Linked DNA regions of Saccharomyces cerevisiae S288C. Changing the gene in region 1 together with any one later gene gives a genetic interaction. Each region holds a gene or a part of one and is shown on either strand. Other genes may lie near its edges.

Region 1 (2,785 bases):
AATTCACATTTATATACACGCTAAATATCATAATGAACGAGGATCATGTAGAAAAACACATTTACCCATAATGGTGAAACAAATTATCAACAGTGCTTTTACGTTATCATCATTTACATATAAAAAATTTATCTAACAAAAATCATGTGAAAAATCATCTGTTATTTCGTTAAAGTACGCGCTAAAAAAAAGTCGGCACTAATTTTATTTGACGAGGTAGATTCTACCTTCCCATGGTTTCAAAACTCTGGAGGAAACGTCAGTATCATCATAATTTCCAAGAATAAAAGATAAAGAAGCACCTTCTCTTGGGAGGCTGAATTCAATTTCTTCGCCACTGAAATTCAAAGCAGCAAACAGCGTCTTGTCTTCGTACTCTTTAGTGAAGCTAAAGATCTGGTCACTGTCTAAATCAATGAATTGGAAATCGTAACCATAAATCATAAGTTCCTTATATTTCTTTCTGGCTTGCAAGGCCCTTTTCCAAAAATTGAGAACTGAGTCATCATCTCTGGATTCCTGCTCAACATTGATTCCTTGCTCAAAAGATTCATTCAAGAAAAACCAAGGTTTAACATCTGGGCCAGTAAATCCAGCATTGGGCTTATCTTTCGTCCATGGCATGGGAGTTCTCGAATGATCTCTAGAAAGTAGGGCGATTCCTTTAAAAAAATCCTTCATTTCCTTCGAGTTTTTACCAAAACTTTTTTTGATAATCTCGTAGTTGTTTTTCACATCAACGTCCTCATACTTTTCAATAGGCCATTCCTTGAAATTGATCTGGCCTATCTCCTGACCTTGATAGACATACAACGTACCTGTCAATGAACATTCTAGCAATGTTAACAGCTTACCAGATATTTTACGGTACTTTGGCGAATCGTCAGCAAATCTCGTAATTGACCGGGCTTGATCGTGATTCTCGATGTAGGTGGTAGCCCAACTATCAGTACCGTTAATGAACAAAAAGTTCGATGCAATGGCTTCTTTCCATTGTTTCAAGGTGAAGGGCACTATGTTATAACGGAAAAATGGCGAGGTACCAAGTTCAACGTGCGTGAAGGAGAAAACTTCGCTGACTTCGTATCTAGCTGCACTGGTGTATAAAGCATTATCACTTCCATGGGCAACTTCACCGACTGTCATTATTTCTCTACCATCTTTCACCCTGTTTTTCATAAATCTGTGTAGTTCTTGATGATATTCATGAATCCTAGGACCATTGTGAGACCCCCAATTTGGATGTTGTAATTTCGAGGTTTTGTCAAAAATTGGGGAATCTGGTAAACCAGGACGTTTCGAATACAAACCAGCGGTATCGATTCTAAAACCATCTACACCATGGTCCAGCCAAAATCCAACAGCACTTTCAAAGATTGCCCTTCTGCAGTCTTCATTCTCCCAATTCAAGTCAACTTGACGACTCGCAAACAAACGGAGGTAAAATTCATTTGTAGTTTCATCAAAAGTCCAAGCTGAACCACCAAAGAAAGATTTCCAATTGTTTGGAGGAATTGGCTTGCCTTCGGCGTCATAACCTTTAGGAGGTCTCCAGAAGAACCAGTCACGCTTCGGATTGGTCTTCGAGGATCTGCTCTCTTTGAACCATTCGTGTTCTGTAGAACAGTGGTTGATAACCAAATCGGTGATGAATTTCATACCCAGCTTATGAGTCTTGTCAATTAGCTCAAAACAGTCCTCGTTGGTACCGTATGTGGGCCAGACCTTTTCGTAGTTAGATATATCATACCCCATATCTTGTTGAGGAGAGTCATAAAACGGACAAACCCAAATAGCATCAACGCCAAGATCTTTAATATACTGCAACTTGGAAGTGATACCTTTTAAATCACCCCAGCCATCGTTATTGGAGTCTTTAAAACTTGCTGGGTAAATTTGATAGATTGTGGCCTCTTTCCACCACTTTGGTTCTGTTTCTGGATGATCAGAAATAGTCATTTATGTATTTTAGTTACGCTTGACTGATGTACATTTGAGATTATCAAAAAAACTGCTTAAGAGATAGATGGTTTAATTTTTTAGAGACGTATTAATGGAACTTTTTATACCTTGCCCAGAGCGCCTCAAGAAAATGATGCTGAAAGAAGAATTGAGGAAGGAACTACTCATCTTACGTTGTTTGTATCATCCCACGATCCAAATCATGTTACCTACGTTAGGTACGCTAGGAACTGAAAAAAGAAAAGAAAAGTATGCGTTATCACTCTTCGAGCCAATTCTTAATTGTGTGGGGTCCGCGAAAACTTCCGGATAAATCCTGTAAACTTAAACTTAAACCCCGTGTTTAGCGAAATTTTCAACGAAGCGCGCAATAAGGAGAAATATTATATAAAAGCGAGAGTTTAAGCGAGGTTGCAAGAATCTCTACGGTACAGATGCAACTTACTATAGCCAAGGTCTATTCGTATTGGTATCCAAGCAGTGAAGCTACTCAGGGGAAAACATATTTTCAGAGATCAAAGTTATGTCAGTCTCTTTTTCATGTGTAACTTAACGTTTGTGCAGGTATCATACCGGCCTCCACATAATTTTTGTGGGGAAGACGTTGTTGTAGCAGTCTCCTTATACTCTCCAACAGGTGTTTAAAGACTTCTTCAGGCCTCATAGTCTACATCTGGAGACAACATTAGATAGAAGTTTCCACAGAGGCAGCTTTCAATATACTTTCGGCTGTGTACATTTCATCCTGAGTGAGCGCATATTGCATAAGTACTCAGTATATAAAGAGACACAATATACTCCATACTTGTTGTGAGTGGTTTTA
Region 2 (3,355 bases), on another chromosome or scaffold:
AATTATGTTGGTGTTGGAACCCTTTTTCTACTACATTGAAGACGTCGGCGGAGATGATGATGAAGATGAAGATAATGTGGACAATAGCGAGGGCGACGAAGAAAGCTTACTTAGCAGGAATGTGGAAGGAGATGATAATGTGGTTGAGCGTCATTTTAAGCCTGATCCAAGGGTCATTACACTGGAAAAAATATGTGAAGTTGCTGCAAGACAGAAATGGATATAAGGAGAAATCAAAGGAAAAGAAGCAAGATCCAGCGTTTTCTTTTGAACCCTGGAGGATGCTGATGCATTCTCTATTTATTTGGTATCAAATTGTCGTACAGATGATTTATATATGTTAATATTGTTCAGTTTACACTAATTTTAATTTACCGTATTTACTATCCAAAGGAGAAAAAAAGAAGTATATGGACTTCAGTATTTATACAATATCGAGTTAAGATAAGTTAAGTAACAAAAAAAACTGGATAGAGTGGTTTTCTATTAGTGTGACGGAAGATAAAAACAGCCCTCTCGAGGAAGGGTGAATGCATACTTCGAAGGGAATCTAATTTTGTTTACTGGTTTTCTTATAAGATGGCAATTCGGTGTACTTGTGATTTTTCATGTTTTTGAATTTCTTCATCTCCGAGAACTTACCCAAAACACGGCGTTTCTTGTTTAAAGCTTTTCTAGTAACATCTGTGAAATCTCTGTTTTTCCCGTTGACATATAAGAAAAAGTACATGAAGACGAAAAATACCACCACGACAGTAGGGATAGATAATGCAACATAATACCACTGATCATTTGTTATACCTGCATCGTCTAAAGCCAGTTGCTCCTTAGTAGGCTTAAACACTTTTGAACCCTTAGTGATGTATAATAAAATACCGTATTGTAGTGGATCGAAATCTTCATCTGATATGTATATTGGCTGAACTGATACAACGATCCTACGATCAAATTGGTCCTGCAGCCATTCATCTCTGACCTCAACCGGCATTAGACCGTTGTCATTATCAATCCATTCGGAAGAGAAAAAAGTTGCAGGGATATCTCTTTTATAATTGCCCTTCTCTACGGGGTTTTCTTTAACATAGGACAAATGAACACGAACCTTATCAGCAACTTTACCGGAATTCTCATCTGTAAAAAATCTTGTATACCAAGTAACGAAGTAAGTCTTGTCAACCTTCCATCTAGAATTCTCATAAGGGGTACAAAATGGCTCACTGCGGATATCCTTTGCTAGACCTTTATTGAAGTAAAGATTAGGAGTACATCTGACAATAGGATTCAGGGAGACGTAGGTGTCATCTTCATCAATATACTCTTCTTCTACAAAAACTTCATTAGGGCCCATATTGTGAGCCTTCAATTCTTCATAAGAATATGTGTGGGAACTTACCGTTTTGAAGTAAGTTGAGTAATCAGGTCTTCCCTTCTTGGTTCGACCTTTGTTGATTTCTGGTTTAATGGTTTTTGGCCTACCATCATGCTCTAAAGATACCCAAGGTTTCAATGGATTTGGTGTTTCTTCTGGTTTTTCAGAAAAAGTGACACCGGCAATGACCGTAGGAGTGACTAATTCTTTTTGACTTCCATAAACCGTACGTAACCAAGGTTTAACTTCTTCTGAAGTAGTCATTTTCTCCTTTGGACGAACGACTTGTCTTGCACCATGAACATGTTGATAAAGCGATGCCAAAGAAAAGAAGATAAGTATACTATCGTGAAATCTCATTATTCCGCAATTCCTTCAGATCCCGCAGAACTGCTTCCGACTATATTGTCTTAACCTTTTTGCTAAAATATTTTGTTCTTCAAAAGTAAAGAATAGCTTGCTGAGAGAAATGCGTCGAATTGCCTTTCTTATTTTTTTCATGATCTTTTATTCCTTTTCAAAATGTCAACGGCAAAATAATATAATTTCGCCCTTTTCCCGAGATAATTTCACAAAAAAAGCCAACGAACAATTCGAAAGGCGTTTAACATGAATATACATATATACCTGTGTATATTCATAAGATATTGAGAAATGAATCCATGAAACTCATACTGCAGTAGTTGTTACGATTTATAATGCTCTATAAATTACATTAAATGCCTTTATATACAATAAAAATGCGCTAAGAGTAGGTGACTTATTTTGAATCAGAAACTTTTTGCTTTGCTACAGCGGCTGCATTAGTGACAACTTCTTGTAACCATGAAAGTTCAATCCTACTAACATTTCTGGCATATCCCTTCGTAGTAAAGACATACTCCGTGTACATTATACCGGGGCAGCTTTTATTCATAAATAGCATAGATGATGGATGAATGCTTATCGGCTCTCCAGTGGAAACAGTTCTATAAGACCTGTCTGGCATCCCTATAGCTGTATTCTTGATAAACCCAGTTAAGAAACACTTTAAAATTTTCGAAATTAGCTCGCCATCTTCACCAATCTTTTTGGATTCTTCATCCTCTTCACTGATTGAAGAAAACAAACGCTTACAATAAACTCTTAACTGGTCTCTGACACGAATTACATTTTTAAACCCACGTATCGAAATACACAATCCTTTACACCAATCATTTCTTTCAGAGCTTGCATCTTGACTTTTCCCTAGTTCGTAGAAATAGATATCAAAAAGCTCTTTCAGCATGATAAGGTCACCATACCTTTTACCAGCGTTGCATAAGGACAAACGACGCTCGTTCACCTCATCTCTTTCTTCTGGTGACGGATTCAACAGTAAATTTTCCACACTAAGGCAAGAGACGATATCAATGACCTGACTCAAACATCCGACTTCACTGGCTTTAATTAAGACACTACTTAAATGCGGTTGTAGCGGTAACAGAGCCATTTGTTGACCCCGTTTAGTTATCTTTCCACGAGTGTCAAGAGCACCCAATTCATAAAGTTCCTGAAGCCCCATTACTATAGCTTCCTTTCCAGGGTTCTCAAACCAGGTCCAGTTTAGCAGGTCATCAACACCATATCTCTTCAACATTAACACAGGAGATGTGACGTCACTTCTGGCTATTTCAGGTTCACTTTGTTTAGGTAATTTCACATAATCAGACTCACAATAAAGCCTGAAACTCTTTCCTTCACTTTCTCTACCAGCACGACCACTTCTCTGCATCGCACTTGCCTGAGAAATGGGTACGGTAAGTAGAGTGGCTAATCCCAGCTGATGTCTCCAAACTTTGACTTTTCGAAGACCAGAATCAACGACAAATTTAACACCGGATATGGTAACAGATGTTTCTGCAATATTGGTACTAAAGACGACTTTTCTCTTGAAACCCTTTATCGGAGCGAAGACCAAGGACTGTTGGACCGCGGGAAGAGCTGCATATAAAGGATAAGGAACTA
Region 3 (3,438 bases), on another chromosome or scaffold:
ATACCAAAATTCAGTCATGTTTAAAAGGGGAAGGTACGATAGAGATATATATAAAGTGTTCAATTTACTATAATTGCGTATAGAATCCATTGTTACTTGCTCTCAATGAAACAACGATTCATTCGTCAATTTACGAACCTAATGTCTACTTCGAGACCGAAAGTTGTTGCCAACAAATATTTCACTTCTAACACTGCCAAAGATGTTTGGTCGCTAACCAATGAAGCCGCTGCAAAAGCTGCCAATAACTCCAAAAACCAAGGCCGTGAACTTATTAATTTAGGCCAAGGCTTTTTTTCATATTCCCCTCCTCAATTCGCCATTAAGGAGGCTCAGAAAGCCCTAGACATTCCAATGGTCAATCAATATTCTCCAACTAGAGGTCGACCTTCATTAATTAATTCCTTGATTAAGTTGTATTCTCCTATTTATAACACAGAATTGAAAGCGGAAAATGTTACCGTAACAACAGGTGCCAATGAAGGTATACTTTCTTGCTTGATGGGGCTTTTGAACGCTGGCGACGAGGTTATTGTTTTTGAACCTTTCTTTGACCAATATATTCCAAATATCGAACTTTGCGGTGGTAAAGTTGTTTACGTCCCCATAAATCCTCCAAAGGAATTGGATCAAAGGAATACTAGAGGTGAAGAATGGACCATTGACTTTGAGCAGTTCGAAAAAGCGATTACATCCAAGACAAAAGCTGTCATTATCAATACCCCTCACAACCCAATTGGTAAAGTTTTCACGCGCGAGGAATTAACCACTTTAGGTAACATTTGCGTCAAGCACAACGTTGTGATTATATCTGATGAAGTCTATGAACACCTTTACTTCACTGATTCTTTCACTAGAATTGCCACACTCTCTCCAGAAATTGGGCAACTAACCTTAACGGTCGGTTCTGCCGGTAAATCGTTTGCTGCTACTGGTTGGAGAATTGGTTGGGTCTTATCCTTGAACGCAGAGTTGTTAAGTTATGCAGCTAAGGCACATACAAGAATTTGTTTTGCATCTCCATCCCCTCTACAGGAAGCTTGTGCAAACTCTATTAACGACGCTTTAAAAATTGGGTATTTTGAAAAAATGAGACAGGAATATATCAACAAATTCAAAATTTTCACATCGATCTTTGATGAATTGGGACTACCATATACAGCTCCAGAGGGTACATATTTTGTCCTCGTTGATTTCTCTAAAGTGAAAATTCCCGAGGACTATCCCTACCCAGAGGAGATCCTGAATAAGGGAAAAGATTTTCGCATTTCTCACTGGTTGATCAATGAATTAGGTGTGGTTGCCATTCCACCAACTGAATTCTATATCAAAGAGCACGAAAAGGCTGCTGAGAATTTGTTAAGGTTTGCAGTTTGTAAAGATGATGCTTATCTAGAAAATGCCGTAGAGAGATTAAAACTACTCAAGGACTACTTATAAGATAAATTTTTTTTTATACTCCTTTTTCTCAATATATAGATTTTATAAAGCATGTATATTTTTATGCAGAAGTGGTAAATATAAACATCAATATTCCAGAATAATTCCATATTTTCTTCGCGTACTACAAGAAAAAGTGAACCCTTAATGAAAAATAGACAATATGAACATTTAGTAATGTTTTGAACAGTGTATTTATAGAGTACTTAAACACATATGAAGATATAGCGCAAGTAAATATAAATGAGTGACAAATCTCATCAGATATATTGCTACTTTTGGCTCTTTGGTTTGATCAATAATGTACTTTATGTGGTAATACTTTCAGCAGCTGTTGATATCGTGGGTCCTACCTTGCCTAAATCTCTAGTATTGCTAGCAGATATATTCCCATCACTCGCCATTAAATTGTGTTCCCCATTCTTTATTGATAGAATCAAGTACAGCTATAGAATATGGTCTTTGATCACGATGAGTTGCTTAGGAATGTTCTTAGTTTCTTTTAAAAACTTGTTTGTTTGTCTTTTAGGAATATCTTTCGCATCTATATCTTCCGGATTTGGAGAAGTGACATTCCTACAGCTAACACACTATTACAAACAAATTTCTTTGAATGGATGGTCGTCAGGTACTGGTGGTGCAGGAATCATTGGCGGAGCATCTTATATGTTCTTAACTTCAATCTTTAAAGTTCCAGTGAAGCTAACTTTACTAGTATTTAGTCTCCTTCCATTTGCATTTTTGTTTTATTTTAAATTAGAATCCAATGATACCAACCTGACTTACCAAAGTCTTCAACAAATTGACGAAGCAGAGGATGACCAGTTGGTGCCCTTTCCTGTCGCCTTTACACATACCAACGCTTCGCAATCCCTGTATTCTACAAGACAGCACATTTTGCAAACGGTCAAGAGACTTCGAAGATTGGTTTTTCCATACATGGTTCCATTGACCACCGTCTACTTATTCGAATATTTAATAAACCAAGCGGTAGCTCCGACCCTATTATTTCCGATTAATGGTGATGAAAGAAGTAAATCGATGCCATTTTTCTTCCATAAATACAGAGATATATACGTAACCTATGGAACGCTCTACCAATTAGGTGTCTTTATATCAAGATCCTTTGGACATCTTATGAGAATGAGGAGTTTATACATCTTAGCGTTTTTACAAGGTGTGAATTTGTGCATAACGGTACTGCAATCATGGTTTTATGTCACACATTCGCCCTGGGCGGTGATGATATTAATATTCTATGAGGGTTTTCTTGGTGGTGCGTCATATGTTAACACATTCTTAAATATTCTCGAACAAGAGGATCCTGATGAAACAGAGTTCGCCATGGGTGCTGTGTCCATCGCTGATTCCTTTGGCGTTTTTTTGGCTGCGTTACTTGGTTTGGGGCTAGAACCCAAACTTTGTAGGCATCAAATTGCCGATGACAGACCTTGGTGTAGGATGGAATAAAGTTTTGTTGTGATATTAAATAGGAGATTGAAATAAAGTGTTAGATGCTTTCTATATACTCATTCTAATGCCTGCTAATAACTCTTCGATAATTCGTTGATTTCTATCATTACTTTGAATGGTACTCAATATGCCAAAACACTGCAGTAATGTCAATTTATCTGTTTCTGTGACATTACTTTCTTCTTCTTGATTGAAAATGTAAAGTTGAAAACTTTTGCTGATACCATCGTTACTATTTACGAAGTTTTCATAACAAGGTAAGACTATTGAATCTCTAAAGCACATAAGCAAAAGAAACCCAATAGAATAATTACCATTAATGTGAGTCCGACTTTCATTGCCTGACTTTAAAACCGTAGAATTACCATCTTCTCTGATACTCTGATCCAACGGTAATAACACAGCGGCTAAATCATAATATACCTCTTGATAAAATATCCGCCATATAACGCCTAATCTTTTCAATGCGTTATTTATTGTGTCTTCATTAGAATAGTTAAAAACAATTTGGTTTTCTAAATTGTA
Region 4 (2,877 bases), on another chromosome or scaffold:
AAAATCAGCTCCAGCGCGGGTTAGTGGGAAACTGACCAATCAATGGGCAGCCTGTCAATTTCAATGCGGGTAACAGGGTTGTCAGTATAATAGACCCAACTTACTGCTTTATGTTTATGTATATGTATATATCAGAGACCTAATCGAGAATAGAGAAGTGCTCACATATTGCATAAATTGAAAAGTCCTCCAGAGGCGAAGTATATAAACTAAATGTTTTAAATGAGAAAAGCAGCTTCTTTTCCTTTCTTCCACGTAGTACTAAATCATGTCGGAAAGCGATAATTGCTTTTCTTCGTCGTCAATATTACTGGATGGCACAACTTCCGTGGCTTTGTTTTCATTTTCTCCAGGATATCGCGATGTTAGCACAAGCGTGATACAAAGTAGTAAGCAGGCGATGAAGAGACCAAATATGAACCAGGAAAAAGCCATACAGACCAGCTGCAACCTGAATTCTTCCGTCGTCAGATCGTGAGGAATATTTTTATCTTGGAATATGGACGCTGCGTCTTCTGGTCGCGAGTTACCCATTAATCCTAGCTTAATGCTGTTGCCGAAGGCTCGTATGGCGGACTTAAAGTAACCCTTCTCGAAAGGGTGATGCTCATCGCACAGTATCATGACTTTAGAATCTTCATTCGTGGACGAATTGTTTATCTTGGAAATAGCGAAGGTCGTAAAAGCCAAAGTCATCAATAAGATCTGTTACGTAGTATTTGAGAGAAGGAGTAAACTAACCTTGAATTGAGGTCTTGATTACAAGTTGCTTGCTTAGTGACACATTTGACAAGAAAAAACAGTAATACGCCAGAACATTTGCGGCCCCTTTTTATATCAAAAGTGCTAAACATGCTATTTAAGTATTTCTTTTGCTGTTGATACGCAATTTTCATTGCGCTGCTGCAGATGTGGTACCCTTTACCGCACAAAAATACTTCTATCTGGATATTATTCCGTGTACTTGGCGAAGAAGCCATCCCGTTTTGAACGCCATTGCCGCTAACCTCCGCGCTTTCGCTTGCAGCAATGGCTACATCCGCACGGTTCCGCTATTGCCACGACATTGTGGTGGTAATAGCCAAGGCAATGGTGTGTACAACTTACGATCCCTCTGCTTGCGGAAGCAGTCAAAAGGCAAGTGAGATCTACTCTATAAACTGACACTTTATCCAGGGAATTATCGAGAAAATTCTGTCTTGTCAATTAGAGAAGTAAGGGGCCACAGGGAAATAATACTTTCGAAGGGAGTTTCTTTCCTTAAGGAGGTGCAAAATGCAAAAGATATACAGTTTATAGGTTGATACACATAGAGCAAGTGGTCTCAAGTGGTCTTAATGAGTCACGGGAGGTCAAGATGCTCTTTTTTTCTTCATCGTTTCAGTTTTGTATCTTGAGCGGAGTGAACTTGCCCTTTAAGCGGGCCATACCCTTACATGGCGTTAGCACTTATTTTCAAGGTGAATATATACAATGTCAGTTACCCGTTTTTTTGTCTTCCGCTGTATAAGCTTGCTATCATTAAAAGCCGCATGTGGCATCCTGAATTCTGCCACCCCTTAAATACAAAAAATAGTGTAAATGGTACTTGATCTCTTCTGGAGGAATAAACAATAATTCTTGATGGAATTTGAGAGAAAGTAAGTGTTCGGCTAAGCACAATAAAGATATAAACCTGTGACTACCTATATAAGTTCGTAATGTCAGCACCTGCTCAAAACAATGCCGAGGTTCCCACTTTCAAGTTAGTTCTTGTTGGTGATGGAGGTACTGGTAAGACTACCTTTGTGAAGAGACATCTGACCGGTGAATTTGAAAAAAAATACATTGCAACTATCGGAGTAGAAGTTCATCCTCTATCTTTTTATACTAATTTCGGTGAAATTAAGTTCGATGTCTGGGATACCGCAGGCCAAGAAAAATTTGGCGGGTTAAGGGATGGTTATTACATCAATGCTCAATGTGCAATTATTATGTTCGATGTCACATCCAGAATCACTTACAAGAACGTCCCTAATTGGCATAGAGACTTAGTCCGTGTGTGTGAAAATATTCCCATAGTGCTATGTGGCAATAAAGTCGATGTCAAAGAGAGAAAGGTCAAGGCCAAGACTATCACTTTCCATAGAAAAAAGAACTTACAATATTATGACATTTCTGCAAAATCCAATTATAATTTTGAAAAGCCTTTCTTGTGGTTGGCTAGAAAACTTGCCGGTAACCCACAATTGGAGTTTGTTGCGTCTCCTGCATTGGCCCCACCTGAGGTGCAAGTTGACGAGCAACTAATGCACCAATACCAGCAAGAAATGGACCAAGCCACTGCTTTACCATTACCTGATGAAGACGATGCTGATTTATAAAAACATGAAAATTTATATACGAAAATATTCTGCTTCTTCTCACATCAATCTAAAAATTTTTTTTTGAAATTTCTTTTATTTTTAATATATAGTTCTGAAAGTCTATTTTTAAAGAATTAGTTCTTCTCTGTTTAATTGCCACATTGTAATTTTTTTTTGGTATGTTGAAGTTTAACCTGTACATTTCTTTTCTTTTAAATTGAATCAAAGACCAATAAACGGGATCCGATCACAATATGATCGTCCAATAACGCTCCCTCTTGCACTTCACTTACTACTTTATAAACCTAATTTTTATTTTTTACTAGATTCCTTTTTTCTTCCTGCTGGCGCTTTTTTTTTTTTGCCCGTCCAAAAGTTTTCAATGAAAAGTAATCCTCTTGAAAAGAGATACTTCTTTCGATTACAATAATGTTCTTATTCATATACAAATAGAATATCAGAAGATCGGAAACGAGTTAAGATAAAATATAAGAAGAGGAAAGTATTCCCAATTATGTTTTCATTTAATTGG

What was found.
Region 2: mutations in YBR298C-A (region 1) and PSG1 together harm fitness more than expected from each alone (negative genetic interaction), as found in Saccharomyces cerevisiae (one large-scale study listed by BioGRID).
Region 3: mutations in YBR298C-A (region 1) and YHC3 together harm fitness more than expected from each alone (negative genetic interaction), as found in Saccharomyces cerevisiae (one large-scale study listed by BioGRID).
Region 4: mutations in YBR298C-A (region 1) and GSP2 together harm fitness more than expected from each alone (negative genetic interaction), as found in Saccharomyces cerevisiae (one large-scale study listed by BioGRID).

Annotation. Positions count from the first base shown.
Region 1 is NC_001134.8:804,525-807,309, reverse strand, and holds YBR298C-A (uncharacterized protein), read left to right. Parts: upstream 1-2,053; coding exon 2,054-2,275; downstream 2,276-2,785. Other genes in the region: alpha-glucosidase MAL32, read right to left, coding at 205-1,959.
Region 2 is NC_001143.9:289,827-293,181, reverse strand, and holds PSG1 (Psg1p), read right to left. Parts: upstream 1,730-3,355; coding exon 551-1,729; downstream 1-550. Other genes in the region: AAN1 (Aan1p), read left to right, coding at 1-226; DHR2 (RNA helicase), read right to left, coding at 2,130-3,355. UniProt on the Saccharomyces cerevisiae protein: With EXP1, the specific cargo receptor protein for the plasma membrane ATPase PMA1, is involved in the transport and/or maturation of PMA1.
Region 3 is NC_001142.9:323,281-326,718, forward strand, and holds YHC3 (amino acid transporter YHC3), read left to right. Parts: upstream 1-1,683; coding exon 1,684-2,910; downstream 2,911-3,438. Other genes in the region: BNA3 (kynurenine--oxoglutarate transaminase), read left to right, coding at 106-1,440; BIT61 (Bit61p), read right to left, coding at 2,962-3,438. UniProt on the Saccharomyces cerevisiae protein: Plays a role in vacuolar arginine transport. Involved in pH homeostasis. May be involved in ion homeostasis together with IST2. Not necessary for mitochondrial function or ATP synthase degradation.
Region 4 is NC_001147.6:680,930-683,806, reverse strand, and holds GSP2 (Ran GTPase GSP2), read left to right. Parts: upstream 1-1,700; coding exon 1,701-2,363; downstream 2,364-2,877. Other genes in the region: YOR186W (uncharacterized protein), read right to left, coding at 262-696. UniProt on the Saccharomyces cerevisiae protein: GTP-binding protein involved in nucleocytoplasmic transport. Required for the import of protein into the nucleus and also for RNA export. Not essential for cell viability.